4 linked regions of the Rhinolophus ferrumequinum genome follow. The protein of the gene in region 1 interacts with the protein of each later gene in a biochemical or structural test. Links are inferred from orthologs where the notes say so. Each region holds a gene or a part of one and is shown in the gene's direction. Other genes may lie near its edges. The genes, in order: GABARAP, RETREG1, SEC62 and NEK9.

Evidence for each region.
Region 2: the proteins of GABARAP (region 1) and RETREG1 are reported together in a solved structure, tested with the Homo sapiens proteins (2 studies listed by BioGRID, with this or other methods). The link is inferred for Rhinolophus ferrumequinum from reciprocal best matches to the Homo sapiens genes GABARAP and RETREG1.
Region 3: the proteins of GABARAP (region 1) and SEC62 interact in a test that uses a peptide from one of them, tested with the Homo sapiens proteins (2 studies listed by BioGRID and IntAct, with this or other methods). The link is inferred for Rhinolophus ferrumequinum from reciprocal best matches to the Homo sapiens genes GABARAP and SEC62.
Region 4: the proteins of GABARAP (region 1) and NEK9 form a complex in vitro, tested with the Homo sapiens proteins (2 studies listed by BioGRID and IntAct, with this or other methods). The link is inferred for Rhinolophus ferrumequinum from reciprocal best matches to the Homo sapiens genes GABARAP and NEK9.

What each region holds. Positions count from the first base shown.
Region 1 is NC_046304.1:11,590,606-11,598,057, forward strand, and holds GABARAP (gamma-aminobutyric acid receptor-associated protein), read left to right. Parts: upstream 1-4,386; 5' UTR 4,387-4,523; coding exon 4,524-4,613; intron 4,614-5,170; coding exon 5,171-5,249; intron 5,250-5,389; coding exon 5,390-5,508; intron 5,509-5,972; coding exon 5,973-6,038; 3' UTR 6,039-6,049; exon of another isoform or gene 6,050-6,093; 3' UTR 6,094-6,464; downstream 6,465-7,452. Other genes in the region: CTDNEP1 (CTD nuclear envelope phosphatase 1), read left to right, coding at 395-461, 559-677, 882-953, 1,370-1,486, 1,724-1,835, 2,248-2,332, 2,631-2,691. UniProt on the Homo sapiens protein: Ubiquitin-like modifier that plays a role in intracellular transport of GABA(A) receptors and its interaction with the cytoskeleton.
Region 2 is NC_046290.1:11,173,269-11,182,003, reverse strand, and holds the start of RETREG1 (reticulophagy regulator 1), read left to right. Parts: upstream 1-5,296; 5' UTR 5,297-5,331; coding exon 5,332-5,636; intron 5,637-8,735. UniProt on the Homo sapiens protein: Endoplasmic reticulum (ER)-anchored autophagy regulator which mediates ER delivery into lysosomes through sequestration into autophagosomes.
Region 3 is NC_046285.1:72,242,072-72,249,879, reverse strand, and holds the start of SEC62 (translocation protein SEC62), read left to right. Parts: upstream 1-4,389; 5' UTR 4,390-4,680; coding exon 4,681-4,716; intron 4,717-7,808. UniProt on the Homo sapiens protein: Mediates post-translational transport of precursor polypeptides across endoplasmic reticulum (ER). Proposed to act as a targeting receptor for small presecretory proteins containing short and apolar signal peptides.
Region 4 is NC_046289.1:23,492,874-23,500,977, forward strand, and holds the start of NEK9 (serine/threonine-protein kinase Nek9), read left to right. Parts: upstream 1-4,830; 5' UTR 4,831-5,023; coding exon 5,024-5,647; intron 5,648-8,104.

The sequences.
Region 1 (7,452 bases):
CTCTTATGTCAGACTGCGTGGATACAATCCTGGCTGCACCACTTCATAGATTCTAAGATGAACTGACCACCCCTGCTACAGTGTTCTAGGAATTCAGCCATGATAGAGACAAAAATCCATGCTCTCGTGGAGTTTGCATTCTAACTGTGGGGACAGACAACTAAATAAGATAATTTCTAGCTGTGTGGCCTTAGGCAAGGTATTTAACCTCTCTAAGCCTCAGTTTATCGTTAAAACAGAGATGATATTATTGTTGTTGTTTTGAGAAATAAATGAAATAATCCTGAATCATGTACACGGTACCCAACATATAGTAAATATTCAACATGTGCTACCTATTGTTACTAGGGAAGATTTCCTTGTCAAGGGTTCTAATTCTCTCTCTTGTTCTTAGGTAATTCAGTACCAAACTGTTCGATATGATATCCTTCCCTTATCTCCTGTGTCCCGGAATCGGCTAGGTATGTGTGCTGGCTGAGAAGACTCCTCTAATGTGAGGTAGGAGTCAAGGTCTGGGCTGGAGGTTGGTTGATGTTTTCCCTTCCTGTTGTGGTTCAGGCCAGGTGAAGAGGAAGATCCTGGTGCTGGATCTGGATGAGACACTTATTCACTCCCATCATGATGGGGTCCTGAGGCCCACAGTCCGGCCTGGAACACCTCCTGATTTCATCCTTAAGGTGTGTGGGGATGGAATGGAATGGTTATGGCTGTTATTCGTCTTAGGCTGGACTCCCTTTCCCAATCCCAGAATGTCTCATCTCCATCCCCATCCTCTGGCACCAGTGTCAGCCTGAAGGAGGGAAGCAGGCAATGGGAGGGTGTCCTTTAGGCCATGTCCTGGTGCTCAGTACTTCCCCTAGCCCTTCCCTATTCCTCTACAGGTGGTAATAGACAAACATCCTGTCCGGTTTTTTGTACATAAGAGGCCCCATGTGGATTTCTTCTTAGAAGTGGTGAGTTTGCGAAAGCCAAAGGGAGCTCTGTTATGAAGGAATGGTTTTAGGGTTCTGGGAATTTAGAGAATTTGGAGGAAGTAAGGGGTGAGGAGAAATGGATAAGGGCAATTTTGAAGAGGGGAGGCTGTGGGATGGTTGGAGAATGGCTTTCACTAGTTCGGGTTCATTTGTTTTGCTGATGTAATTCTTTTCTTCCACAGGCTTCCTGTTCTTTTGTTCTTGCATCTCTGAATCTTAAGGGTGTATGGTGCCTAAGACTTGAGTTTGGGGGCGTTCACAATTTTGTGTCCTTAGAGATAATTTGATATTGCTGAAAGTCCTGAAGGACAAGGCTGCAGTCCTGGTGAATGGGAACTGTGTATCTAAAGGATGATCACCTCTTCTGACACCTCCCTTTCCCCTGTCTATTTCAGGTGAGCCAGTGGTACGAGCTGGTAGTATTCACAGCAAGCATGGAGATTTATGGCTCTGCTGTGGCAGATAAACTGGACAATAGCAGAAGCATTCTCAAGAGGAGATACTACAGACAGGTAAGGGGCTAGAATCCAGGTCTAAGAGTGAAGCTCCAGAGGCAGACCACCAGGGAGTGATTTGAGTTGGAAGCAATTGCCCTGAAATGGGACCTTCTAGTCGTATGTGTGTGGGCGGTGGTATACTGCATGATCCCCTTTGTGGGAATTGGCTGCCCAAGGCGTTGTTGGGATGGGGGGGAGGACAGTCACAGAGAGCGAGTTTCCTTTTGATGCCCAGCTTACCCTGCCTTCCAGCACTGCACTTTGGAATTGGGCAGCTACATCAAGGACCTCTCTGTGGTCCACAGTGACCTCTCCAGCATTGTGATCCTGGATAACTCCCCGGGGGCTTACAGGAGCCATCCAGGTATGGGGGAAGGTGGTGAGTCTGGCAGGACCAGGAAGTGGTTCTGAGGAGGTATTTTGAATACGTGGAGTTGTGATGCCTGGTTTACTGTAGGTCAGGATGCAAGTTGTTTCTCTTCTAAGTGAGACGTTCCCCTCTCTCCCACATGATCATTTCATAAATCAGATTTCTTAAAAGCAGGTGAGACACAATGACAATAAGTTTGACCAGAGGCCTCACACTAGTATGATATGTGGTGATCGAAATTTAATTTTATTTTGGAGGATAAATCAAGAAGGTTTTTACTTAGATTATTGAGTTTGGGTGGAAGGTATATATTTGAAAGTAATGATCCTTACTCCCAAATAAAAGAAAAAAACACCCTGTCTCTTTTGAATCCTTTGTTCTCATGTGCATTTTTCACTCAACTTAGACAATGCCATCCCCATCAAATCCTGGTTCAGTGACCCCAGCGACACCGCCCTTCTCAACCTGCTTCCAATGCTGGATGCCCTCAGGTAAGGGAAGCTAGACACTTAGATTTCTGAGGAAAGGAGGAGGTGGGGGAATCCCAAGAGGAAAAAAAAAAGTTTGACCTGTTTTACTTACTTATCTCTCTTCCCTAAGAATTTAGCATTTGAGCCCAGGTCTTAGACTAAAGCTCATCACTTTTAGCCGTTGGGTTTTGGGCAAACTGAACATCATCTGAAAATGGTGATCATTTCTGCCCCACATCTCCAGTGAGGCTGCCTCACACTAGTGTTGTGGGGATATTAACTATAAGGACTCTACCAATGCAAGTTATTGTCATCCCAGGTTCACCGCTGATGTTCGTTCTGTGCTGAGCCGAAACCTTCACCAACATAGGCTCTGGTGACAGCTGCTCCCCCTCCACCTGAGTTGGGGTGGGGGGGAAAGGGAGGGTGAGCCCTCAGGATGCCGTCTGATGCCCTGTCCAATGGTGAGGACTGCCTGGGCAGGGTCTGCCCCTCCCTCCCCTCTCTGCCCTGGGAGCCCTGCACTCTGTATGGAGTCTGGATGGACACATGGGCTAGATTCTGAAGCAGCCTCACTCTAACTTCGTGTTCAAACTCCTTGGAAACCCCAGACTGGGACATAAGCAGAGGCCTAGGAGAGCCGAAACTGTGTCTGTGGTGGAGAGACAGGACTGGCCAGAGTGAGAGACAGACATTCGGTAATCCAGGAGGCTCAGAGAGAAGCCAAGCCAGCTTTGTTGTGATTTGATTTTTTTAAAACTCTTGTATAAAACTGATCTAATTCTTTACTCCAAGGGCTGGGCTGTGGGTGGGAAACTGGGATTTGGGCCACTGGATTTTCCCCAAACTTGTCCTCCCTTTACTTTTCCCTCTGTTTTCCCTTTTTCCTAGATTTCCTCAGACCTGTAACCAGTTTTTTTTTTTTTTTTTTTTTCTCTTTTTTTCTTTCCTCTCTTTTAAACCATGCATTATAACTTGGAAACCAAAGCTGCCCTAGGTCCTTCTCTGGGGTTTGGGTAAATGAAGGGGAGGGGTCTTTGTTCACATCCATCCTGCCCTCTAGGCAGAGGGGAGAGACTGCTGTTGGGCCCAAGGGGTAAGGGGAAAATGTGGTGTTGGGTTGTCTGATGAAGTAGTGAACATTGACATCAGATGATTTGGCGGGAAGTGAAGGGTCAGCGCCCTGGCTGGGAGCGAAAAGTACAGCTATATGTCTGGAGAAGACTCGAGCTCCAGAGCAAGACACAGAAATATGAAAGGAGAAGCCTGAATGCCAGAAAAGGCATATAGCTGGAGAGAGGCTGGGCTGGGGGGACTGACGTAGACAAGCTAAGTGGGCGCCGCCCGCAGGTAGCTTGTGCCACAGGCCGTCCACTCCCCGGTCAGGTTAACCTCCCTCCCGCCTCCGGCTCCCCGCGCCCTCCTCCCCGAAGCCGGCTCTACTTCCTTGTAGCTGCCACGTGATGCTCCGCCCTTCTCTGAGATCACATGATTTCGTTGATACAAATACTAGTGGTGTTCTTCCGCGCTGACGTAGTCCCAAACGTTTCGGACCTTTACATTCCCTCTTGGTCCACTCATTCCTGGTACTTATGCTTTCTGTGCATCTCTCTAAACATATATTTCGTTTCTGCGCTCCTGTATTTCCGAAGGCCACCTCCTCCATTTGGGTACTATTTTGTTTTGGTGTCAACGGCCGTCTTTAGCGTACCAGCACATTTCTTGAATAGCTATCCTTGTAATTCTCTGCTTTTTCCTTTACGTTATGTCCGAAAAGAATTTTTGATGAATAAGTCTCAAGTTATGATTACTATCTCCTAGCTTCTTTTCACCCCTAGCTTCGTGGGGGAAGGTCGGGAAACGGGTTTTCAGTTATTTTTGACGGTAGCAAAAGCCAACCACCTTTGCTACGTCGCCTGCGTAACCCACAAGTTGATTCCGAAGCTATTACGCTGACGGCGTGGCGGGGGCAGGGGGGTGGTCAGTAGGTGGTGCTAAGTTAGCGGCGTCAGGGCTGCTGCGCTAGTGGCGTAATGTAGCAGGCAGGGCGGCCCCTGATGGGCGGGGGCGGGGTTGGTGAATAGGGAAGTGGCGCAAGTCCTGGGATCGCTCCGCTGAATCCGCCCGCGCGTCGCCGCCGTCGCCGCCTCCCCCAGTCCCGGCCCCCCCGGGTTCCCTCAGCCCAGCCTTGTCCAGCCCGGTTCCCGGGAGGATGAAGTTCGTGTATAAAGAGGAGCATCCGTTCGAGAAGCGCCGCTCTGAGGGCGAGAAGATCCGAAAGAAATACCCGGACCGGGTCCCGGTGAGGACCGTAGCCAGGGCCGAGGGCGCGGGGCGCTGGCGCTGGTGCTGGCGCTGACGCCACAGCCTGGGCTTGGGTCGGGGACGGGCAGTTTGGGTATCAAGCTTCCTGCTGTGGCAGGGTTGGGAACGAACCTGAAACTGCTGTCTCTGGGACCGGAGGTGAAAGGAGTGGGGTAGCGGTGGTAGCTGGGGGTGAGGGGGTGTAGATGGGAGAGATAGACCTTGAGATTCGTGTGGGAGGCTGTAGGGAGTTTGACAGTCTGAATGTCACATGGTCATTCCCCCGAGTTCTTGAGATTGAAGCTGTAGTCGCCCCAGACAAGTCATTCCCGTCTAATGAAGGTAATTATTTATTATGACAGGGACCTGGATGATTAGGTGAGTTGAGTCAGTGGGGTTAGAATCTCTACTCAGGTCTGCACCGCGTGTTCATAGACAAAGAATTGAGTCTGGGGTAGGTCTGCGTGCTAGAAATACTGTTGCTTGAGTTCCTGACAGGTGGAGCTGTGGGACGCTATACCTACTGTCTCCTAATTTTCATCTTCCCTTTATCAGGTGATAGTAGAAAAGGCTCCCAAAGCTCGGATAGGAGACCTTGACAAAAAGAAATACCTGGTGCCTTCTGATCTCACAGGTGGGAACCTGACCCAATACTCAAGTTTGCTTCCTGTGGGTGTGAGTGCAATCTCTGTGGGAGGAGGCTCCACATAGCAGCTGTTCTTTTGAGGGCTTTTGTGCTATCTGTGACTTTATCACACCTTGTATCTTTGGCAGTTGGTCAGTTCTACTTCTTGATCCGGAAGCGAATTCATCTCCGAGCTGAGGATGCCTTGTTTTTCTTTGTCAACAATGTCATTCCACCCACCAGTGCCACGATGGGTCAGCTATACCAGGTACGGGGACTGGGACGTAATGGAGGCTTTGGAGAGGAGGTGGAAGAGCGTGAGAGGAAGCAAGTTTTACGTCGGTAGTTCTTGGACTAGCTGGCTTGCTGAGCTCTCAATTTTATCTTTGGCCTGAAACTTTGTGGATAGTCCTGAGTTGGGGGTTTGGGCAGGCAGTGGGAGTAGAGAGAAGGGAGAGAACAGTGAGCTGGAGCAAGTATTCTAATTCTGACTCTCCCTAGTCCCTCCCCACAGCAGCAGAGAACAGTTGAAGATCTTTTTTGCCCAGGGCTGCTTCTAGGGATAATCCGACTAGACTACTAGGGCTTGGAGCAAGTGATGAAGAGAATCAAGGCACTGGTTTTGGGAGTTTTCAAAAAGAATGGTTTTTAAAGCATGTGTTTGGGTGGCAGGTGGTTTAGGTAACTAAAGCTCAGATGTCTGAGCAGCATCATTTTCTGTTTTCACTCCAGGAACACCATGAAGAAGACTTCTTTCTATACATTGCGTACAGTGACGAAAGTGTCTATGGTCTGTGAAACTGCTGCCCCTGCAGTGGGGGGGTCCCATTCTACAAAGAGAGAGGTGGCCCCCCTTCCTTGACCACCTCCTCCTTCAGGCTCAAACACCACCTCCCTTCAGGACCTGCACTTCCTAATGTTTGAGGCTCTTTTCCCAGACCCTCTTAGCAGGAGGGTTAATGGGTGGAGATGGCCTCTAGTACCTCTCCTTCCTCCTTTCTTCCCCTTTCTATACCACTTTCCCACTCTGCTTTAGACTTCTTGATTGTCAATCTCTGTCACATCCAGTGATTGTTTTGGTTTCTGTTCCCTTTCTAACTGCTCAAGGGGCTCAGAACCCCAACAATCCTTTCCTTTCACTACCTTTTTTTGGGGTAGATGGAAGGGACTGAAATTGTGGGGGGAAGGTAGGAGGCACATTAATAAAGAGGAAACCAAGCTGAACTGGATTTTGCTTTGTATTCCTTCCCTCCCCCTTTTGTTTTTTAGTCATCGGTGGTGGGAAAGAGGTTGGAGGGATGGTCATATATTTCAGTTTATTCTGTTGATGTTGGGGTAGCTTTTCCTTGTGCATAAAAAGGGTGCTTTTATTGTGATGGATGAGATACTCTGAGTTGTTTCTTGAAACTTTAGCTTTATCTACATGTGTATTGGGTCCTTATGGAAAGAATAACTTTTTTATTGTGGGTTCCTGTGGAGAAAGTTTGATAGTACCTGCTTTAGATATACACATCCAAGTTTATTACAACCTTTTGGATTAAGGAAGTTTTCGCGTGTGGAGGCTGCTAAAAGGACTCTGTCTTCAGATGTATGTCACCTGGCCAGACTTTGTGCCAGAATATGGGATCCAGTGGAGGGGAATCCAAGGGAGGGAGAAGACTGGGACGAGGGAACCATTATCACCAGGAAAACTTCATCTTCCAGCAACCACTTCTCCGTTTGGCCGGAAGTGGGGCGGTCCCCCGGAGGGGAGAAAGAAGCTGCAGAATGAGGCAGTATGGTGGCCGAGAGTTCTAATGCCGGCTTTCCCTTCTTTCTTAGTCCCGCTCAGCCTACATTTCCCAGGAGCCTGCGCGCGCTCTTCCGTTCTACCCTCTGCTCCCAATCTCCCCGCCACTCCCCGGGGGAAGGGAGCGGTTTAGTGCGCCTGCGCCAGTCCGTGGCTTGATGGGGACTGAAGTTCCCAAGGTTTATGCAGTCCCCTTTCCGCTGTCCCCTGACGGACTACAAGTCCCTTGATGCATTGCGCATCGGCGCCCGCGTAGGGAGGGGGGAGGAGATGAGGGAGGGAGGAGAGAGGAGGAGGAGGGAGCAGGCGGCCGGCGGCGCGGGGGGAGGGGGCCCGGTCCGGGAGTGCGGGAGGCAGTGGTAGAGGGAGGTGGCGGCAGCGGCTAGCGGACTCGAGTCACCACCGGGCCGAGGCAGACACCTC
Region 2 (8,735 bases), on another chromosome or scaffold:
TGGCTGTGCCCATCTGTGCATGGTCTAAGAGGACACCTGTGCCACAGCCTGACTGCGTGTTCTCAGCAGGGCTTGCGGCCACCAGCCCAGCCTAAAGGGTCACCGGGTTTTGTGCCTAATTTCTAATGAACTAAAATTAGTAAGAGGTGACAAGCCAAATACACCCTTTGGCTGTCTGTGGGATGTAATTCTCATAGCTATTTCATTATATTCCACGAATCTAATTTTAGTTTACAAAATACTCTTGAGACTGGAGGCCTGATTTGGAGACCTTTATTTAGAAACCATCACACCACAATTTCACTTTGATGATGGAAGTTAAGCTGGAGTTCCTGGGACCTCAGGAAAAGGTGTTTTGGGTCTATCGCTTCCTTGGTAAAAACAAACCAACAACGACAAAGAAACCCACAAACTTCAGGAACTCTCAACAGCTCAAAGGATTGTGTCTAACTTGGGGAATGATGTGCAAAACCCTCCTCTATCTGCTGTGTTTATCCAGAAGTCTCGTCACCTTCTCTGCCCCATGCAGTCAACCTGGTCTGGCTAGCGCCTTGGAACTCACCTCGGCCTTACCCTTTGCCAGGTTCTCGTACAGGCCATTTCCTCTGCCTGGATCACAGCTTCCGCTGGTTTCTGAGCCGCAGACCCCGGGCCCAACTGCCTAACTGACATTTCCAAAGATGTCCCGAAGGACACTTGACAGTGTCCCTCCCAAGTCTGCTCCTCCTCTTTACGGTCCTAGCGAATGATAAGGAAAAAGCTCCTCTGGTGTCTCTGCCAGGCTCTACTTAACCCACTGTGCAGGGAAGGCTTTCTATTATAAACAGGCCCCTTCACTCTCCTGCTGAGAGCCCACCAATGGCCCCAAAGCAGCACGTGGAAGGAGCCCTTTCCAGGGCTCACCTGCTCATTCGCCCTGTCCTGTAGCTCAGAAGTGCTTCCTTTCTTTGAGGGCTGGGCTGGCTTCCCTCCACCCCAGCCATGCACGTCACGTGTACCCTCTCCCGTCACCTGGCCACCGTCAGGTCCTGTTCCCTTGCCCATGACCGAAGCACCATGAGGACATAAGCAGTCTTGCTTTTCTTACTCCAAACCAACCTTTAATAAAGGTTTAATGATCAATGAATGAAGAAATGACGAATGAATGATACCAAAGTGCAGTGAGGCAGAACCAGGACCATAAAGGAAAAAAAAAAAAGAGGCTGCAGATGATGACGTTGGTTTGCAACCTCAGGAAGCCCCTGGGTGAAATTTGACATTAGCCTCTACATAGAGGGCACGGAGAGACCAAAGAAAGTGGCTGGCGGACCCTCAGACTGATAGGTGGCAGGTTTAATGAGTAATGAATTTACTTAGTAGGCTTGTCTTGGGCAGCTGCAAGGTCTCTGCACCTGCCTGCCAGCCTCTTAAGGTTTTATAGAGAGGCCTTCACAGGTTCATTTCAGTCCAGATGGTCTCCACAACACCTTACTCTCAACCTGTGTCCCAGAAATGGCTCCCACTGTCACAGCAGCAGGCAGACGTACGTTCCAAGGCCAGGGACTGAGGAGCCTCTGATTGCCTGGGTAGCAGGTGAACCAGCGGTCACATCCTCTGTATGAACTGCTCCAACACAGGACCAGCAAAGCGGCTAGTCGGCTGATTGGAGTGTAACTTGTAGCACGGTGGGAAGGGGCTGGACGTTCATGTCTGCAGTCACCCTGGCTGAGTGTGTGTGTTGTGTGTGTGCGTGCGCCTGTGGCTAGACAGTACATTTTCTTAGGCTATATTCTTATTGTGGTGGGACCTAAGTTCTCTTTCATGAACCATTCCGAAGCCTTTAAAGCTCTTTTGTGTATTATCAGGGAGTGATACCTAAACTGGGAACCCAACTGGTGTGTGGATGGCTTCACCTTGGTGTGAGACTGTTCATGTCTGGAGAGCGCCTCCCTTACAGAAAACTTGTCAAATGTAGACTATTCTAGTTTGCAAGTTCCAATCCTCATGAGCACAACAGACAGCGGGCCCCCCAAGCAGAAATCGCCAATGCCTTCTGCGAGCCAGGAGTTAAAAACCAGGAGCAATTTTCCTTTCCTTTTCTGCCCGCTGGCTGCTGTTGGGTGATGTTGCTATTTATCTGTATACTTAAAGTGAATTCTCTAGGTTCTCTTGGCTCAGTGACATGAAAATTAGGGGAAGTCAGGAATAAGGAGGAGAGTCTATGGTAAGAATAGGAGGGTAGAATTGCTTTAATAAAATTATCAGCACAAAATAATCTACCTGTATTACTAATAAACACGTATGCACAGCTCCTTCAGTGAAGGAGTCATGGACCTACTGAAGGAGGATTCCAACATAAAACATTTTAGGGAAAAAAAATACTAGGGCATTGCCTGTGAGGCCTCCTGGAGAGGGAATTAATTATTCATTATTTTTCTCTCCTATTACAAGCTTTCTAGCTACTTTTGGAAGAGAAAGGTGAGTGGCCTCTTTTAAGAGTTCCTATGTGTATTTTGACTTTCTTTGCTGGAGCTGTGTTATTTTCTAAACTGTCTCCCAGCTTCAGTGGCTACAACTGTTTTTTCTCTCTCTCTCTTTTTTTTCCCCTCTGACACATTCCCAGTTTTCTAGTTTTCCTTGGATATATAATCAAATCATCTAGCTCATTAGTGTTAATCACTCTGTTCCCAATATACAGAGATGCAAAATTCAGAAGAGAATCTTAAACACTAAGGTTACCCACCGGAGTTTTAAACATGACATGTTCTAAAAACTAGGAGACAAGGTTTATTTTAACCATCATTAGCATTATTTTTATGTAGTCTTCACACTGAATAAATTACTCAAGCATCACAAAGATAATTAGACAAAGAGAAAACACCCAGTAGCACCTATTTACATGTCTATGCCAATGTCAATTCCTGTGACATTATTCCTTTGTCAGTAATTGTTAGAGGTCAGAGGTGAAAAAGACAGATTAGAGCAATTAGTCCAGCTTTTTATGCAAACCAGTTTTGTGTAGCACTTTCTCCGCAGTCATTTTGAGAGAAAAAGATCTCACATAGCGGTGGGTACGGGATTTATCATTAAACAGAGATAATAAGGATTGCAAACTACATATAGCAAATGGAGTTTAGTTTTTGTGTCTTGGTTGTCAACAGCTTTTGCTACTTCAAACAGATCCTGACAATAATTAGAATGGGGGCGGGGAGAGGAGAAGCAACGGGAAGAATGTTGCCAACCCTTCTGGAAGCACAGCCACACTGGTTTGGACAATAGGGTTCCTCATTACCTCTGCATGCCCCCTCCAGCTGCAGAGTCCAGTAACAAATCTTAGAATGTTGCAACCTCTGTGCTGTACTCCTGCTAAACAAAGACCAGATGACATAATAAAGCATCATTTATCTTTTCAAAAGCAAGAGGGGGATCAACACCTGGGAACAGATAGTCTTTCGAGTTGTTTCCACATTGTTTTTTCATTGCCTCCCTGACCACTTTCTTTCTGTTGTCAGAGGTGTTGTACTCAAAGGGAAGTCAGAAACGCCAGAGACCCTGCCTTGCCATCTCGGTACAACCCAAACTTCCTGCCACTAGTGGCTCATTCAGGGCCTTGGGGATCTGCTGCAAATAGAAGGAACTCTGGGCCTCCACACCTGCACCTCATGTTGATCTCCCAACAGAGATTACTGCCCCCTCCCCCGAGCCCCCACTTTACTTCCCTCCTCCTTACAACTCAGGGCAGCTGCCATCTGCTCCAAACAGCTTCCTGAAACCTGAGTCCTCCACTCCTTCTCTAATTTTGGGTGCATGATTTAAGTAAGGACTCTTCGCACAGAGCGATTATTTCCATCACAGCAGTTCTCACAATTGTAACTGGCCCCTCCTTGGACTGGGAGCTTCCTGGAGGAAGAAAAGGAGGGTAGAATTGCTTTAATAAAATTATCAGCACAAACATATCCACAGAGCTTAGCAATGCATTGGGCACACAGTAGGTGCTCAATAAACCTTAGAATTTACATATACCCTTCCTAAAGTATTACACACATACGTAAAGTGCACACATCTGCACTGTACAGATCAATGCATTTTTTTTACATATGTATACCCAGAGGGATAAACGTATATAATGACCACTCAGACGAGCATTACAGAACTTTCCCCAGAAGCTCCCTTAAAACAACAGGCTTTAATTGCTCTGGGAGTGAGCCCCACCCATCCTGTAAAAGAAGGCTGGGTGCTGGTGGTGGATACAAGATGCCCTGAGTCATGCCAGGTTGGATGCTCAGGTGGGGGGAAGGGGCATTTTATTCTAGAGGAAAGCAAGAACAGAAGGATTAAAGAATACGTTTTAGAAATGCAAATAGTGAAGAGTATAAGCAATTACCCTTCTTTCCTCTCCCCACACTCATCCAGAAGCACCAGAGCCAGTGAGGCCCGGTATGGGAGGTTTCGGGATTCTCTGTCACCTCTCCTCTACCTCACCCCTGTCCTGATGTCTGCTGGGACAGAGACCAGAGTGACTCTGGAGTAAGGCTTGCCAAACTGCCTTCGACACATGCAAAGCATCCACTCTCCTCAGGGGTTCTTCCTTCTGAGCTCCTGGTTCATCTGTGCCTCCCACAAACCAACGTGCCTTCTGGAGCCAGGTGCCTTTGCCCACAGTGAGAGAGGAAGCGCCTTCCCCCTTCGCTGAGGCCTGGCGTTTCCTCGCTTGTAAAAACCGGCCAGAAGCTTAGTAATTGACCCAAATGTTTTTTTTTTTTTCCTTCTCAATCCGTGATGACATTTATATCATCATGTTATTCCCAGAGTATTACAGACCTCTGCTATGGTTGGGTGGGTTGTCTCTGCGAGGGCACTGGGCCGGGGGATCGCTGGTGGCTGGCATCCGCTCCCAGGGGAAGGGACACCCCATAAAGCCCTGCAAGGCTGCGGATGGGCGAGTGGTGGCCCTGGCTCTGAGAAAGTGAAGATGTCCAATGGATTCTGCCGGTAGTCCCGACTCCCTTTTAGACAAGTCACCCGGCGGCGGTCCTCTGCTTCGCCCCGCTCCGAGAGCGGCAGGGGACGGGGGCTCGCGTTCTCTCGGCCGCCGGGACCCCGCCCAGCTCGCACCCACCGCGCGGCGGAGGCCGCCCCGCCCCCCGGCGCCCGCCGGCCCGCCCCTGCGCCAGCTGGGCCGCACCCACTTCCCCCGGGAGGCGCCCCCGCCGCGGCCAGGCTGACGTCACAAGGCACCCAGGGCCGGCGCCCCGCGGTGCGCGCCCCGCGCGGGGACCCGCCGCCCTTTCGGCGCCGACCGCCGGGCGCGCCCGCGCGCGTGCCCGTCCCGGCCTGGCAGCGCCGCTGAAGATGGCGAGCGCGGCGCCTCCGGAGCTCGCCGAGGAAGGATGCCCGGCGGCGGCTGCGGGCGAGCGGGCGCCGCGGCCCCGGCTTCCCCCCGAGGAGCAGGCGGAGGAAGCGCTGGAGGAAGGGGCGACGGCGGCTGTGGCCGCGGGGCGGCAGGTGGAGGAGGCGGCCGGCGGGGTGGCCGCCGCGGTGACCTGGCTGCTGGGGGAGCCCGTGCTGTGGCTGGGCTGCCGCGCCGACGAGCTCCTGAGCTGGAAGAGGCCGCTGCGCAGCCTGCTGGGCTTCGTCGGGGCCAACCTGCTGTTCTGGTGAGAGCTCGGGGCCGGGGTGGGGGTGGGGGGACGCCTGGGAGGGCAGGTGACCTTGGGGCGCCCGGGGCCTTGGGTGGGTAGTGCGCGCTGGACGCTGCGGAGGAGCAAGTGTGAGCCCTACCCTACTTTCTCGGCCACCTTTCTCGAACAGGTAGACACTCACTTCAACTTTCCTCCAGACCACTCTTGCCTGTAAACAGTTGTCATCCTCCGTCTGTGTTTCCAGCCTCGCAGGCAAGGTGGTCGGCTGACCCGTCTGCACCTGTACCTACAGGTGTGCCCAGCGTGCTCAGAAACTTCGGCTTTTTGCTTTCTAAAACTCGCAGGTCTTGACCTGCTCCCCCAAAGCATGCCTGAGCAATCGTGCTTGAACTTGTATTCGTTCTTGCACCCCCAGCAGGCCTATCTGGACCAGCTTAGGTACACGCTCAAGACTGCACCGCCTTCGTCAGCCACCTGAGATGGCACTGAATGACTTGTTTTTCTGTTCTCTGGAGGATTGGGTTTACTGTCTTTACTGCACGATGGGACAACAGGCAAACGGTGGATTACGTACATCACCCTGCCCCCTCCCCAGGTGTGCACAGGGTGGAAAACAGTCATATTTTTAGGTAAAATACAGAGAGAATACATAGGAATGTTCTCTGACAAGCCCCTGATCAACAGGTTTGTCTCTCCAGAGAGAACTCTTTACCTGTAAGGACCGGGGAAGTGTCTGGCTCCTTCGTTGAAGGACATGCCCTGTCATCTGCTACCAGTCTGGTGGAGGGCAGAGAAAAGCTGTCTTTGTTTGCAACTGTGTCCTCATAACAAGCATGACCCACACGGTACACATTAAACAGCTTAGGCAGCAGATAGCCTGCTGTAGGACAGATTTCTTAACCTTGCAGTTAGGAAACAAATAAATGCACATGGTATAACACAGCCTACCGTTTTCTAGGTGAATCTAAGCAATTCAAGGATTTTTTGAAAAAGAACAGATCTGTGCTAGTCCTGGTTTTCTCTAAAAACTGGCTGTGTCTTATCAGGGCCCCTAAATGTGAATTTACTTTGGGTCTCTTACTTCTGTGTTCCTAAAGATTATTCCAGATTTCTCTATCCTGTTATGAAGTTATGTGAGCATTCAAATAAGGAGGATATATTTATGGTATTATGCTAGATTGGGCAATAGTTCAATTGTCCTAGGGCTGTGTCTCACTCATTTCACCAATGAGGGACACATTTTTAAAATTCTCTTTCTTTAAGTTTAAATTTTCCTCATTAATGTTACCTGTTTCCTGTATCTTTCCAGGTAGTGCACATCACAATATTCTGTGCAAATTGTAAAATACTATCAGGGTCTTTACTCTTCTTAGTGTATCTTAGAAATCACGTCCATGCCCATTTTCAGCTGCATAGAATTCCCGTTGTAAGGTTGTCACAAATTATTTAACCTGTGTCCTAGTGATGGACTGTAAGGTTGTTTCCAAACGTTTGTTATTTCAGTGTTACTAATGGCTTCATACATGCATTATTTTACACACATGCTAGCATTTCTGTAGAATAAATTCCCAAGAAGTGGAATTTTTGGATCACAGGGGATGTGCACTTGTAATTTTGATGGATATCACTGAATTGTTGCACTTCCTTGGAGTTCTACCAATTTATACTCCAACCAGCAATGTGTGTGACTGTCTGTTTCTCTATACTCTTGCCACGAGCATTTTATCAAACTTTTTGATCTTGTAAATCTGATAGGTGAAAAAGGGTATCCCATTGGGGTTTTAATTTGTATTTCTCTGGGGTCAAGCATCTTTTCCTGTGTTCAAGAGCCATTATAATCATGTTTTCTTTGCATTATCTGTTTTTATATTTTATCCGTGTTTCTAGTTGAACTCTTGGGATTTTTCCTATTGATTTGTAGGAACTCTTTTTATATTAACCTCAGCCTAATTTCTATACTATGAGTTGCAAACATTTTTCTGTAATGTATTCTTTATAACCTCTATGGAAAAGAATGATTTTTGCATAAAATAATAGAAGGCAGATTTGGTAGTATTCAAGAGTGATGTCTCCTTTGTTTTTAATGAGTCTCATGAGAGGTACACAATATCAGGTCTTCAGTCCAGTTAGAGCTTTCTTCTTATCTGCTTTATATTTTCTCCCATTTGCAGTGTCTGCATTCCATGTATGTATTTTCTTTGACAGAAAGATAATAGTGTGGCTTTTTAAATTATGAAATATTTGTTAGCTGGAATTTATGACCCATTTATTAATTTCATTAAAAATTTGAACTCCTCCCACCCCTTTGTTGCTTCTGGGGTTAAAACACTTTTAGAAGACGTTGTTTTCCTTAAATAGTGTATTTCTTAGCAAGTAATCTTAAGTTATGTGATATTCTAACATTCTGTGTCCCAGGACTGCTAACACTCTGTATTTTTTATGAGAAAAACAAAAAGATTAATAATGTTAGCAATATGGGGAACCCAGAACTTAAGCAAGAGTGATAACGTGTTCACTTTAATTGATGTTACTTCATGTTTTTTGGAAATTAACTTTTTAAACACATGTTTTCTGAATGACTTAGTATCAGTTACCAGCAGTAGCTTTCAGGATTTTGAGTTTGAGTTCATAAAGCCTCTGACATTTCTTACCCACCGTTATGTGTAAGATTTTAGTCCTGTGTAATATAAGGACCAACACTGACACGTGGCCATGACAAATGGGTGTTAATCAAGGCTGCATGAAGTTAGCGTATCTTGGAAATCACGTCAGAAGAGTCAGAGAAAGGATAGTTTATTGTCATGCGATTTGCGGGGAGTGGTGCCATTGTGGAAGGAAGCGATTGTGCGGTCTTCATAAGGAGCTTCTGCTCGGACCAGACCTGGATGATAGGAATGATTGGGGTCCATCTAGTGTGTCATCAACAGCCTTCCAGCCCCAAGGAGTCGTACTTAATATTTTGACCAGTATACTAACTAAACTGCTGTAATGGCACATGGTAGAGGGACGTGGGGAAGAGGAGACTGGCCAGGTGTTTCTGAAGACACATTTGGGGGCAGTGGTTACCTTGGAGGTCATACTGTGTGTTTGAACTTGTTTTTTTCTCTCTAGCAA
Region 3 (7,808 bases), on another chromosome or scaffold:
GAAGCCTTTTATTAAATTGGTTTCCTGTAAATTCCACAGAGGACTCTCTAGATAATAGAGGCCTTGGGATCTAGTGAAGACTTCCTAATTATCTTGTCTGCCTAGAAGTATATTTCTCTCAGTTACTAAGACTCCAGAGGATAAGGACGATGTCATTGTCATCATTCATTCTTCACTCCATCGACACCCACGCACTCTGACCCAGGCACTGAGACACTGAGAACAGTAGAATGAGACCTATACCTGCCCTTGAAGGGTTCACAGTCTGCTAGAAATAAAAACAGTGAATTACAACATAAATTATATATACTATAGCAAGGATTGTACAAAATGTTGGTGGAGCCCAGGAAAAGGAACAGATGAGTCTGCTGAAGAAAGAATTTAGGGAAGGTTTCACCATGGAGGTGACATGTTACCTGACCCTTGAAGGGTATACCGAGTGGGAAGGGGAAGGAAAAAAACAGGAAATATGTGGGTCTGAACGTGCATATGGAGGGATGGGGATGAGGGGGAGAAGTGTGGTCTCACAGTGCTCAAGATGAAGCAGGAGAGGTGGGCCTGAACCGGCTGATTCCCAGGAAAAAGATAGTGGTTGTATATGGTCAACTGGCACACAGCAGGGAATGGAAAGCTCAAGTCTTCATTTCTCAGACTCCCTTGCAACTAGAGTTGTGGTTTTAATTCAATGCACTGAGAGGACATCACGAAGACAAAAGTGATGATGAGGCCTTCTTCCTGTTGCTACTGGCTGTCAGTCTGCAGGCAAGCAAAGTCATGGAGACACAGGGGTTTTCTAAAGCCTCACTGTATCCACTCTTGATCATGGGAGTTAAGAGGTAGTTGTATTATGACAGTGCTGGCAACCACTTACGATCCTGGCTTCCTGACAGCTGGATTACAGCCATCCTAGTAGTTTATTGAACTTAGTGTTGCTATTGTGGACTCGTGACTCCCAAAACGTAGCAATCTCCCTGACTGATAGGTTTTGCAGGGTTCTGGCAGTCATTCAGACAGGTCCAGACTTAAGCCTGCTCCTCCAACCTTTCAACAATATTGGAAACATGTAATTCTCCTCATTAGGTCCCCTTCTTATTAAAATACTTAGATTAGTTCCTTTTTCTTTTTGCACTGAATCCTAACTAATAAATCAAAGATAAGGAAATCATGACTATCCTGTATGTGAATGAGAATGACACGATGAACATGTATGTCTGTTTGAAATGACAAAACAATTACCATTTCAGTTAAAAAGACAGTGACTTTTTAAATGTTCTTAGTCTAAAATTTATGTATTATATTTTTTCAAAACAAAATATCTATGCTTGTTTTTCAATAATACATACTCACTGTCTTCTTTATGCTATTTCTTGAATGGAAGTCTAAAGAATCAACTCACAAATATTAAATCAATTTTCAAATAAAATTAGGCTTACTGTATTTTATTTTATATTAATTATATTTATATCAAATTAATTTTTCCTTGTGATAATAGTATTAAGTCACTGACTTTATTAACTCACATATTTTAAAATGCTTTTATAAAAACCATGCCCAGAAAAAGCTTGGTCATTATTTGTTATACTTCCCTATAACTTTTTTCTTTCCAATTTAGTAACATATGTATGTTTAACACATAAAGGACCCAGAGAAAGTTTTATTTAAAACAAAAAAAAAACACTGAATATATCAGTTTCCATTTTACATAAGTCTGATCAATGGAAATACATTTCTACATACCATTCTCTTCCACTTACTGGGATGGTAGGCCCCAGGAAACTGAATTTTTTAAAGTCCTCATCTATTCATCAGTCCTCCAGACAGAGGATCCTTTGTTTAGCAGAGCATGGTAAAGAGTTTTTAAATTTATGTGCCCAAAGGAATCTAGTAAAGAGCGAAGACTTCAATTTCTCTACTCTATGCAGCAATTCTGAGTTTCAGAGGCAGCGCTAGAGAGAAGTGAAACAGCCCAGAGGTAAAGAGAACTTTTGCTTTGGCAAAAGAAAGGAAGAGGGGCAATGCTCCTCATTTGGGAAAGAAATAAAAGTCAAATGTTAGGAGTGAGATGGCAAATTCAAAGAGAAATCAGAGCAAGAAATGGCTAGGCGAAACTCCCCACTACCTCCATCAAAGATATAAATGAGGTCCTGGGTAGAGTGTTTGAGCTATTTTTATATAAATATTAAATGGAAGGAGGATCCAGAAATTTTACACTTGGATGAGAACATTAGCCATCCTTACTGCTGCTGTACACAGTTGGGGAGTATTGGTAGGTGAGGGCAGTGGTTAGTAAAATAAGAGAATGAAAGGTGGTCTTGAGGGTAGAGTGGGTAGAGTTGTGAAGAATGATAGGAGGCTTTTGCAACAATAGTTCAGGTAGGTAATGATAAAGAGCTGATGAAAACAACATCAGTAGGAATGATGAGGAAGGAAAGAATTCCAAACATCTCAGTGTAGAATCAATAGGATTGGTGACTGATTGGCAGAGAGGCATGGTTGCAATACCTCTAAGGTTTCTAATCATGAGTAACTGAGGGAACAATGATGCGACTATCAGAGTTTTAAAATGCAGTAAATGGGGCAGGTTTTGTGGGGGAAGTGGTGATTCCTAGTTGGAAATTCGGGAGATATCCAGAAGACGGCTGGAAGTAAACATTTACTCAGTATTTTGGAATTAAGCTGTTAGCATCAATGAGAATCCCCAGAATGTATAAAGAGAAGGAAGAAGTAAGCATGGATGTATGGTAGCCAGGAACATTTAAGAGCTGGGCAAAGAGAGAGGAGCCAAAGAGAAATTAGATGGAAGAACCTAATATCATAAATACCAAGGAAAAAGAATAAGTCAAGAAGTGAGTTGCCAGTATTGTCAAATGCTTAATAAGATGCTAGCCAAAAAGGAGTCACTGGATTTAACATAAATTATTAATAGATGGTGGAGGTAGAAACCAAATTGTTGTAATCTAAGAAGTGAATGTCAGTGAAGACATGGGGATAGAAAATTAAGGCTCTTCTGAAGACAAAGGTGGTAAGCCAGTAGTTTCAGAGGGAGTCGGTGTCGACAAAGGATTTTTGATCCCCATCCTCGTCCTCACCTAGCATTTTGCATCTAGTAGGCACTCAGTATCTATTTGAATGCAATATTTTCATTTATAGAGCAGCTCTCCTATGAAAAGAATCCAGTGTTCTCCAAATGGAACAGTACAAAACAGATCCATCATTTTGGAGGGGGAGAGGGACTGAGGGAAATAGACATTTCATATCCTATGTTATATTTTGACTTAATTGGTAAGAATCATAACTTTTGTCTTACCCCCTCCTTGACCCCACACACTCTAATTGTAGGTTATAGAGGGGAAAGGAGCTAAACAGTTTGCTAATCCTGTTCCCTGAGTACAGAATTGCATAGTCCAAACAAGAACTTTAGCTATCTTACTTTATAAAAGATTAGGCATCAAGATACCATGATTTGCCTTAATTACACATTCAATTTTTATTAGGTTCATATATAATATGGGAAACTTGAAGAATTTTTTAATAATATAATAAACGCTTGTAACATAACATTAAGTGAAAAAAAGGTTACCAATTACACATCCAGTATGATCTCAAACTGGGGGAAAAGGGAAAATATATAAATACAAATACACACACAAAGTAGGAATAAATACTAGAGGAAAATAAACTAAAATAATAACAGGTCTGGGCAGTAGAATTAGGAGTTTTACTTTCTTCATCTTACTTTTCTGTATTTCCCCAGATTTCTACAATTGAAAATGCTTTAAAATCGCCATGGAATTTCTATCTAAACACTTACTAGCAATGTAAGCCCATTCTCTTTGGTCTAGGTGGCTCTAAAATAACAATAGTTTTAACAGTAATTCACCATCCGCGAAGTACGCTGCAGTCTTCTTCATTCCCAATTTCTTAGACTCTCTCCTATTTGTCTCACTAGTTGGTTGTACTTCCCTCGAGTTATGACTCCTGGCTTCGAAAGGTGAGTTTTAAGAAGTAACTTGGAGCACGGAATAGAGAATCCAAAGCTTGTCTTCGATGAGCCCTACCACCCTGTATATTGTGTGGGAAAAGATAATTGACTTAAATCTGGGCTCGGCCATCTACCAGCTGTGGAGCATTGGATAAATCAGTTCCCATCGCCGCAGTTCCCTGGGTTTTCCCATCTTTAAAATGGGGTTTATAGAATTTGCACGTGGGTCATGCGTGGGGCAGGGCTCCACTCCAGATAGGAAGTGCCACAGTCAGAGACGTCTAGCCTCCCGGAGCTCTCAGCGAATCGCTCTGTGAAAGGCTCCACTCCCAACGTAGTGACTCTGAGGGGGTGGGGCCCGGGAATCTGTATTTGAGTAGCTTCCCAGGTGATGCAGATGCTCAGTCACGTTTGACAGCCAAGACTCTTTCCAACCCTCCTGTTCCCTGGTTCACCTCTCAACTTCCTGCTGCTCCCAGCGACTTCCCGTTCCCGCAACAAAGGGAGCGGAGGGGAGGGGAGAGAGGGCGCCGCCGAGTCCCGCCGGGCCTGCCCGGGGTCCGGCCTCGCGCCCGCCTCCCCACCCTCGCAGGGCCCCAGCCGGCGGGTTACATAACGGGACCTGCGGGACGCTCTCGCGAGGTTTCCACCGCCCTCTCCTCGCTCCACGTCAGAGGGAACCGGGCGGAGCGGCCAACATGGCGGAACGCAGGCGACACAAGAAGCGGATTCAGGTAGCCAAGTCGAGTCCGGGGGTAGGGGCTTCGGGGCGCTCGGAAGTGGAGGGAGCGGGGAAAGCCCCCTGAAAAGGCGAGCGAAACCGACGGCGGGGTGGGGTGGGCTTCCGCCGCGAGGCCGCCGGCCGCCGGCTGCGTCGTCGTGAGGGGCCCGAGGGAGGGTGGTGGTGGCGGCGGCGGAGCCTGTGGCCGAGGCGCTGGGACAGCGGCAGAAAGCAGGAGGCGCCGCGCTGGCGTCGGCGGCCCGGGGTTCCCGAGGCCGCGCCCGCCCCGGCCTGCGCTGGGTGGTCAGCCTCCTCCCGGCTCTGCCGGCGACCCTCCCCGGCCTCCTCGCCTCCCTTCCCGACCCCGTCCGCTCGCCGTAACGCTCTCGAAATTAAGGCCACGGTAATTAGGGTAGAAGGAGGAGGCTGACCTAAAGCAGCCAGTTCTTTGTGCGCAAACAGAAGGACGGTGGAAGGGGGAGTGCTCTGTGTTTGGTCAGCTGTCCCCGGGGCCTGGGCGGCGAGCTGCCTGCCTGGCCAGATGTTCACTTGCGTTTACCATCATTTCTCCTCAATGCTGTTAGGTTAATGGTCCAATTGAAGCTCTCCAGCTTTCTTTTGGGAGACACAGTATAAACAAACACATCCGCGCTGATACTGTAACGAGCTGGTCGCGCCCAGAAACCTTGCACAGTGTGTCATCCTCATAACCTACATAACATCCCTCGTTCATTCCACATGCATGTCATCTGTGCATTTCATCCCAGCGATTCCTCCCCTGTTGTTCTTGCTCTTTACCAAGAGGATTACATATGTGGCACATCGTAGAGTCAGGATGTCCGTTGCCTCATCAGCTCATGGGCCTAGAAACCTTGATATGTCATCATAAATTGATAGCATGTTGTAAATTGTTAATATACTAATCACAAATTGTTACACTCATTATTGTATCTCTGTTCCTTACTATTTCTTTGTTCAGAATGACTTTTTCTGTCGAATGTTTTATTCCTCCATTTAAAACAAAAACAAAACTGTTACTTAATGGGCTTGCACCACAGGTGACTGGAGTTAAAATTCTGAAAACTTTGGAGTGCTAGAAAAAAAGATGCTAGTGATCAGTAAATTTGGAATTTTGGAATTGGGCAGAAATAAAAAAGTAGTTTCAAAGAGGGTAGAAAGGGGATCATAAAGAGACAAATTCCCCTGAATTCAGACAGGTCATAAAACCAAGGCTTAAGGGTATTATGGAAGAAATTTCTAATTATACTATTCCTAGCCTTTCAAAATTTAGTGTTATTGTTTAAGTATGAATATATAAGACTTTTATTAGAATTTGTGTTGAATTTGTCAAATTTGTACTTACTAGATTCCTTATATTTACACATTACATTTTATGCTATTTAACAAACCCTGTTTTTACAATTTCAGCAGTTGTTTAATATTGTTGTGAAGGTGATCCTAATTCACTTTTTAAATAGCTATTTTATTTCAACTGTGATTTTGTGTTAAATAGGAAAGTAGACTAGGAAGCTTTATAATCGTGGTTGGGAGCTAAAGCTTGAGCCAGACTGTACCTGTTTGTACCCTAGTGTCACTGATTGTTAGCTGTGTAACTTTGGGCAAGTTACTTAACTTTTTACCTCAATTTCCAAATCTGTAAAAAGGAATATTTACCTTAAAAAAAAAAAAGGGGGAACCTCATAGGGTTGTAGGGTTGTTGTGAAAAATACATCAAAAGAATGTAACTCCTTCCTTTTCCCCCTTCCCCAAGGATGAAGGATTTAAGATGGTTTGTTTTGGTTTTTGTTAAGCAATCTGATATGCCAAAGAAAGATTAACACCTATCCATTCACTAAATAAACCATGAGATTGTGAGTTCCATAAAGTATAGCTATTTACTTACTAATGTTTATTTAAAGATCAGATAAGTATTTGAGGACCTGATTGTTATAAATCAGCTTGCATACTGCTAAATCGAACTGACATTTATTTTCCCATCCTCGAAGTTTTCTACATAGCTGTGCTAAAATATTGTAAAGATCTTGGGAGTGCTACTTGGAGTACTACTATGCAGTCTTTAACCAATTATTAAAAATATACAATATCTTATATATTTTCTTGGTTCCCTCTACTCCCCACCAGAGACTCAGACACTCTATAATATTGGCATCACTTTAGACAAAAAGATCAAATATAGTGACAAAGTCCAGTTTAAGTTACAAAAAAGATTCTATTGTAAGACTTTGGGGCAAAAGTTCTGTAATATCAACTGAGTTTCCTGTTGTTTGTTATTTGATGTTTCCTGTTCAGAAAAGACTTTTATGTTTAGTAGATTTGGTGACCTTGAATTGTAATTTGTACATTGGGGGAAATGATTGATACAGACACGTTCAGCATTTTTAGAAGGTGGCTAATTCATTTGCTTTTTCTAGGGTAGCATACTTTCAGGGATTGTGATATCCCATCAAAGTTGGAAGCAAGAGGACTGTTTTGTCACATTTCCTTCTTGGACTCACTTTACTGGTCACTAAAAACCAGAAGTGAGCTAGTGAGCATTGACATTATGTTGGGAACTTTTAATGATTGAGATTCTGAAATGAGAGTGATCTCAATCTAATGAAACATTTGAAAACAAATAATTTTAAGTTATTTAAGAAATGCAATTAGGTAAGTTTTTAAGAACTTAAAGTAAGTGCTTATAGGTTAACAAAATGCTGCTTACTAGAAAGGTTGATTTAGAATCCTAGTATCATGAAATTTTAGAGTTGAAAAGGATTTTCAAATAGTAGGGTTTGTTTGGAATCCTTTAGCACAAATGCAGTTCTTATATAAACAGAGTGGTGAGCCCCAAAGCCCTATCACTTCAGTACCCCACTACCATCATCCCGACACTCCATAGTCCTTTAAGCTACATTTAGGGCCTTGATCGAAAAGTATTACTAGGTATAAAACTTACTGCTTGAAACCATCACCCTCATTTTACAGATAAACAGGTTGGGTGAAGTTAGTATATGACGACCCAGGGTCCCTCATCAAAGTAGTAAAACCAGATTTAGATCAAGTCTTTCAATTCTACGTTGAATGTTCTGTCCACCTCACCATTGA
Region 4 (8,104 bases), on another chromosome or scaffold:
TTTCTCTGAGATAAATGCCCAAGAGGGCAATTGCTGGGTTGTATGGTAAGAGCACGTTTATTTTTGTAAGAACCGCTCTATTCTTTTTCCAGAGTGAGTGTGCTATTTATGTTTCTACCAGCAATGGATGACCAATCCAGTTTCTCCACATCCTCACCTGTATTTGCGGTATTATTTTTTATTTTAGTCATTCAGATCGATGTATGTAACGATACCTCATTATGGTTTTAATTTGCATTTTCCTAATGACTAATGTTGAACATCTTTTCATGGGCTTATTTGCCATCTTTGTATCTTCCTCAGTGAAATATCTGTTCGTGTCCTTTGCCCATTTTCTAATTAGATGATTCTTTTTACTAATGACTTTTGAGAGTTCCTTATTTATCTTAGATATATCTAAGTCCTTTGTCAGATATGTGCTTGCTTGAATTTTTAACATAACTTCTACCAAGGAAAAAAGTAGTAAAATTTACCAAGTCTTCTTACATGGCCAGTCACTGACTTAATTCCTATTCTTATGTGTCCCCCTAAGACATATGAGGTATAAAAAAAATAACGCATCTGGGATCATGAATAAATACTTGAGAATACATGTTGTGAAAGCAAAGCCAAGAATCACTGTGAGAATATGAGGTGCCTAAAGGCCAATACTAATGTAAATAAGAACGTGGATACAAATGACCATGTTTGTAAACAATTATGAAAAATATTATGAATATTTCCCCACTTCTCTCAGGAAAGGAGGTGGGAGTTTGTCCTTTCTGTAATCTCTTTTTTAGCCCTGCTGACTGTTACAGGGTTTGTCCAATCGCAGTGGCAATTACAGGACTTAGGGCCATGCAGCTTGTGGTTAAGAAGCAGCATCCTGGAACTAACAGAGCACACTGCTGTGGTGACCTGGATAGAAGTACAAAGGTGGAGGAGGAAGTGAGTTATGTTGTTAGAATCTCAGGCTGTTCTGTTAATGTTCCAGCTACTGTGAACCCAAAAGCCCTTTTTCTTTCTTCTCCCTTTGACTCCCTGTATGAATTTCTGGTGTGGCATTGAAAGTGGTTCTTTCATTAATTTGGGCAACATTGCCATCTGCTGGTAAGAATTGATTGGTACTGCTTCTGAGAACCTGACAGCTGAAACCTTGCAAAAGAGCAGCAGATGTTGTGAAAGTCTCTCTGTGGTATTACAAATACTCAACAACAAAGGATGCCTCCAAGTAGGGAAGAAAATGACCAAATTTGTGGATTAAGATCCAACCTTAGACGTTTAAAGGTGAAATTCTGTATTATTAGCCTAAGAAGATACTGTTTCATAATTCTGACTGGTGCCTTTCCCCTTTTTAGAAGCAATGAAAGCTATTCAGTAGATTATAGTACTCTGTTCTGACAAAATGTCAAAGAAGATAAAAGAGGGGAATATTTTATTTTGCTGATATTTTTGTTCCCAAATGTGACAGTGAAAGTGAAATTCTTTCATGTCCTTTCCTTTTACTCATGCCAAAACTACCAACTTGGACTTCTGTGCTTTTGGTTTAAAGTTCATTAGTATTACACCTTGATTTTATCTAAAAGTAAAATTACTTGCCTTCGATAAAAGGCTAGTGCAAGGGCAAATCAGTTTTAAAAATGAGGATGTTACCTCGTTTCCTCTGTTTTTGAGCCTATTATTCAACATGGTCTGTGTAATACAGGTGAGAATGAAGCAGTTTAAGTAATATTTGTTATACCATTGTCATAAACGCTGTCATAAGCAATTTTTCTGTTTGTTTAATGGAAAGAGGCATGTGGCATTTATACAGATTCACTTGTAAGAGTTGGATGGGGACTTTTGTGTAAATTTTCTCAAATAAAGGCTAGCAGAAACCATTTTTAGGTGTATTTTTCTGTTACTGTTTGTCTGGATTGGCAGTGATTCCTCCATATTCCTCAGTTTTCAAGTATGGCAAATTATACGTGATTAAGTAGAGAAAAAATATTGTCCATAATTTACTCCAGATGGATAAAGTTTTGTGAGTTAGTAATAGTTTATATTTTATATATGTTATAAATGTATATATGTATATGAAAATAATAATTATACATCTTCATAAAGACCAAACAGGGCTCTGTAAGCCAGGCATTATTCTGTAGCTTCTCTCTTGGAAACTGGTATTGGAATTATTCCTACAGAAAGTCTTCTCCTTTGCCCTCCATTCTTAAAATACCCCTCCCAGTTTAGAACCCCTCACAACTTGCTTTATTGACCCCTCACATTTATGCAAAACCCTACTCCAGCAAGTAAAGGCCATTTTCTCCTTTCCTTTTACTTGCAGTTGGACATTTTTCATAAAGCTTCTTTCCAAGAGTCGACCTGAAGTGCTTTGCACATTCATTGGCTGGCCTCTTATTCACCCTCCACCTGCATTTCCCAAAAAAACAGGTAATTTGTCAGTGAATCTATGCAAAGTAGTGGTTCCCAACATTTGAGTATAAATATTTTAACATCAAAAATGTCTTATTTCTCACTGATATTTTACTTTTAGAGAACATGAATAAATTCAGCAACTTGACAAATGAACTTTAAATTTAATAATCTCAACAGTATCATATATTTGTTAAATGGTAGTACATGTTTTGCCAATTATTATTTGTTCAGTCTGCAGCAATGGTGTCCCACCCACATAACATGAACCACTCTGTATAATTTTACATTTGTAGTACCACATTAAAGTAAAACTAATTTTAATAATATATTTTGTCTAATATATCCAAAATAGCATTTCACCACGTAGTCAATATAAAAATGAGATGTTTTATTCTATTTTTTCATAGAAAGTCTTTGAAAAGCATTTTATAGCTACAGCACATCTGCATTGACGAGGCTTAATTCAGGTGTTCAAGAGCTGCATGTAGCTAGTGGCAGATGCCACATTGGACAGTGAAGGGTATAGACTTGGGTAGATTCTTTTGTCTTTATAGTAACTTTATGGCCCCTGGGGATCTGCCTTCACAAGTGGGAACTTTGGTTATGTAGCATCTTAACTATTCACTTGTTAAAATATAACATGGAAATAACTTTTTTGATGAGAGGCTGTTTAAAAAATCAGTTATACCTGTAGTATTTCTGGACTTACTAAGACTATTCAAAGGTCAGATACGTAGTTTCATTTCATCCAGTATAAAGAACTGAGCATGAGTATTTCTGTTCTGTCTTCTCTAAGATGGAAAGGGCTATTGAGCTTCTATCTATGCATACTATACTACTAGAACAATTGGCAATACCAGGCTGTTACAGAAAACTATCTAGTTCCTCATTGCAAAGATGCCAGAAAATGAATTTTTAAGCTTTGGCCGATTATTCAGTTTCTCTGAAAGTCAGCGTTTCTGATTTTAAGTAACAGCTTTTTCCATTCTTTTTAACTCAAGAAAGCATTTATGGAATATCCTGTTTAATATGCTGAGCTAAACTCTGGAGTAGACCTGAATAAATAAGCAATACTTATCCTCAAAATGCCATCTAATCAATAGGAGGAGGTAGATGGAATCGCCTCTATCTGGAATGATCTCCCTGCTTTAGCCATTACTGACAATATTTTAGATATTCCTCCAGGAAGCCTTTACTAACCCAGCAAGTTTGGCTGGGAAAGATGCCCGTCCTAATAATACTTGTACTTTCTTTATAATAACCCTGTAACTTATGCACAATTATTCATATAATTGCCTCATCTGTCTGTTATATGGACTGTAAGCTCCATGAGAGTAGGAACCATGTTTACTTTGTTCTCCCTTGTAACCCAGCACCAGCACAAGTTGGTACTCAGTATGTGCTATAACTAGCCACCTAGTTAAAACCCTGCAAGGGTCTCCTAGACTCTTATACATGTACTACACCAACCATATCCCAACTGATCATAAAGTCTAAATGTTCCTTAGATTTCTTAAGTCTGGATCTTCTCTCCACTAACACTGATAGTACCTCAGTGCCTGTTCTTTTTTTCGCATATAAATTGCCTCTTAACTGGTCTCCCTGCCTCTTTGTTCTCCACATTGTCCTCAGAGTTCTTTGTAAAATATAATTTTGTTCAATGTAAGGTGATCATATTGTTTATTGTCTGAGCTGGGCACTTGAGCAAGAAGGCTCTATTAATTATGCTGGGGAGGAAAAAGGGGTAAACTGGGACTTCCCCAGCAAATCGGGACAGTCACACTAATCATATACTCCCCTGCTTAAAAATCTCCCGTAATTTTCCATTGCCCACAGGAAAAGCCAGACTATGAAACTGTATTTGAGGACCTGTCTTCTCTTCCTTCTACCCAGCATGTATCTTAGCCTCAGGCTACATGATCTTCTCTTCGCTCCAACATATCCTGCTCTAGGAAAGAGATGTGGAACCAGATTGCTGGGTTTGACTCCCAGCTCCCCTTACAAGCTGTGTAACACTGAGCAGGTTACTTAACCTCTCGTATTTCAGTTCCTTCTATAGAATGGGAACAATAGGATTAAGTGGGATGATACATGGAAAGAAAACATTAGCGTTATGCTAGGAACACACACTATAAATGTGTGCTGTTATCTCTGATCAGATTCCCACAATTTTACAGATTAAAAAACAAACTTGGAGATGTGAAGTTGCCTAGTCACAACTAATGGAACACGTTTTTCGACTGTATTGCAATACTTCTAGTTACTTGAGGGAAAGGAGCATCTATCTTATTGTGGATTCCCCACCCAGCAAATACAGTGGTACCTAGCGCTCAGAGAATGTTCCATGAGATTAAATGGTTACAGATTTGGAAAGACGCGCTGAAGAATAACGTTAAGTCTGGAAAAAGAGAAGAGAGAGTTTCAGGAGAGTTGACAAAATATTTTTGGAGTTGTGTGTAAGAGGAAGGGACCTAGAGTAGTTCTGGGAGAAATAACGGCACTGACTGAGACGACAGGAGGCAAGTATTTCGGCTTACTGTAATAACTCTCTAAACAAAGCGCGCTGTGCAACACTGGAAGGGCCTGCTTGCCCAGTCACTGCCCTTCAGATAGACCTGTCGCCAAGATGAGACAGGAGGAAATCTGGACCTGGAAGCTGTCTGGGGACCAGGCCAGGGATCAGGGAAGTGGTCTTACAGACTCATCGGTGACCTCCTTGCTCCTGCCAGAGCCCTTCGGTTCCACGTGCTCGCTACCACGCACCCGCCAACCCTCGCGAAGGCCTCACTTTCCACGCGGGTGGAAAGCGAAGAAAGCCGTGGCGCCGAGACTAAGCAAGTGGGCCAGTGGAGGCGGAGAAAACCCTGCTGGGCCGGAAGTACCCAGAACCGCTTCCGGGTCAGGGGGAAGGAGCCACCATGGAACCTCGCCGGGGTGCAGGGCTGACGGAGAAGCAAGGCGTCTGAAGCAAGAGAAGCACAGCACTGCAAGAGCCACCAGGGACACGCAGGCCGGTCCTGCGGCCGCCGCCATGTCGGTGCTGGGCGAGTACGAACGACACTGCGATTCCATCATCTCGGACTTCGGGAGCGAGTCCGGGAGTGGCGGGGACTCGGGCGCGGGGCCCAGCGCCAGTCCGGGGCCGCGAGCCGGCGGCGGCGCGCCGGAGCAGGAGGAGCTGCACTACATCCCCATCCGCGTCCTGGGCCGCGGCGCCTTCGGGGAGGCCACGCTGTACCGCCGCACGGAGGTAGCGGCCCCCAGTTCCGGCCGCCCCAGCCCCTCCGCAGCCCCGCTTTCCCCGTGTCTTGCGACTGGTCCTCTCGTAGTGCTTGGGTGCCCGCAGGGTATATGTCTCAGGGTCCGCTCCACCACTCTTCCAAGTCCCCGGCACTAGGGATTCGTTACATCACTGGTTTTACTTACTGGTCGTTTTTGTTTAACCCGGGGAACTGAGCAAGTCATTGAAACTGCTCTTAGCCTTAGTTTCCCCATCTATAAAATGGGTTAGTTATAACTACCTTAAAATAATCTTTATTCTTAAAGGTTATTTTGAGACTCAAACAAAGGTGCTTTGCAAACTGTAAGTTATAAAGTGGTCCACGTTAAAGTGTTGCCAAAGTTATTCCCTCTCAGCTCTCCAAGGTCATGGTGGAGAAGACGGGCATAGCTTCAAAATTCCCACATCAATGGCAATTCTGCCATCTTTGCCATTCTTTAAGCTCAGATGTGAACACTCAATTGGAAATTTTTCTTGAAGAGTAGGGAGATCGTTTACCCAGCAGCGTTTGTGCCTGGGAAATACTTCTTCGGTATGTTCTATGCCGTTGATTTTTAACTTTAGAGGGCACAAGGACCCCTTTGGGAACCTAATGTAAATATAATCACCCCGTCCACATTTGCACATATACATATCCTTTGAAGAGATTCATGGATCGCTGACCCCCAAGTTCAGAATGAAGACTGATCTAAAACTCTGCAGTGGTGACTCTACTTACAAAAACTAACCATAAACTGATTTTGATCATTCACGTCTTAAAATTTTAGCTTTAGAATAAATAGTTAAGCATTTAATGTGAGACTATGGTGGGGTTATTGAAAGTGATTCATCCATCAATGAGCCATCTGGAGTTCTGGTGTGTGTTCCAAACTAGCGTAGTTTTAAGGCTAAAAGATGGAGAGAGGTGGTTGCAAGAGAATATCTTTAAGTGTTCTTTTTTGTCATAATGCCACATTAATGTATGATATTAGTGTTAGTATTCTGTTTTCTTATTTGTACTCAATATGAGAAAGAGGAGATAAGCATTAGTATTCCTGTTTTATAGTTAAAAAACTGAGACAGTATATTTAAGTGACTTGCTCACTTAAATTAGAAGTAAGTCTTGGACTAGAATGGAGTTTTACATCTCCTTGCCCATCCTTTTGTTGTTTTTTTGTTTTGTTTTATAATTTGACTTTTTTTTTTTTAAAGATTTTATTGGGGAAGGGGAATAGGACTTTTATTGGGGAACAGTGTGTACTTCCAGGACTTTTTTCCAAGTCAAGTAGTTGTCCTTTCAGTCTTAGTTGTGGAAGGTGCCGTTTAGCTTCAAGTTGTCCTTTGAGTCTTAGTTGTGGAGGGCGCAGCTCAGCTTCAGGTCCAGTTGCCGTTGCTAGTTGCAGGGGGCGCAGCCCACCATCCCTTGCAGAACTCAAGAAATCCAACTGGCAACCTTGTGGTTGAGAGCCTGCGTTTCAACAAACTGAGCCATCTGGGAGCTCAGCAGCAGCTCAGCTCAAGGTGCCGTGTTCAATCTTAGTTGCAGGGGGCGCTGCCCACCATCCCTTGCGGGAATTGAACCGGCAACCTTGTGGTTGAGCACTAGCCCATGTGGGAATCGAACCAGCAGCCTTCGGAGTTAGGAGCATGGAGCTCTAACAGCCCAGCCGGCCCCCATCCTTTTCATTTTTATGTTGAACTTGATTACAGAAAATTTTTAAGTGAAATTTGATTACACTTTCCCAAACTGCGTAACATTATCCACCAAATATTTATTAGATCTATGAATTTACGAAGGTTTAATTAGAAGCAAACCTTTCCCTCAAGCTTATATTTCAGTGGGAAGACAAGTTGGCTCCATTAGTAAACAAATAGCATTTAAGTTGTATGTGTATATAAATGAATGCACAAGTGTCGTTTCAGTGTATGCACTCTGAAAATTAAGGGAATAGTTACATTGAATAGATGTACAGCAGAAAGCTCATCAGGACCTTCCCAAAAAAATTCTAAAGTCCTAGCAGAGCCATTTTAGAGGATGGGGAGAGTAATTTAGGTGGGGGTGCTCCTGGTCTGGGGAGCAGTGTCAGTAAAGAATTAGAGATATAAAAGTGAATGGATCTTGGGAGCTGCAGGTTGAGTTTTCATGAATAGAGAAAAACATATGATGCATAAAAGTGACAGGAGATAGAGTTACAAAATGGGGCAGCATGAGTTAAGTGAACCCAGAGCTGTTAGGCATGACTTACTTTTATCCAGGAAGGGTAAATGAAAATCACTTGAGAAATCTAATTTTATAAAATTAGAGGCAAATTTAGTATTTCTATTTTACAAGCATCTGTGGTCAGCTGTAGGTGACACTCGCCAGTTCTCTATTTCTCCAACATTCTAGCCCTGTTACAATTCTCATCATGACTAACAGTCTGTCTTAATGTCCCTCAACATATTCTT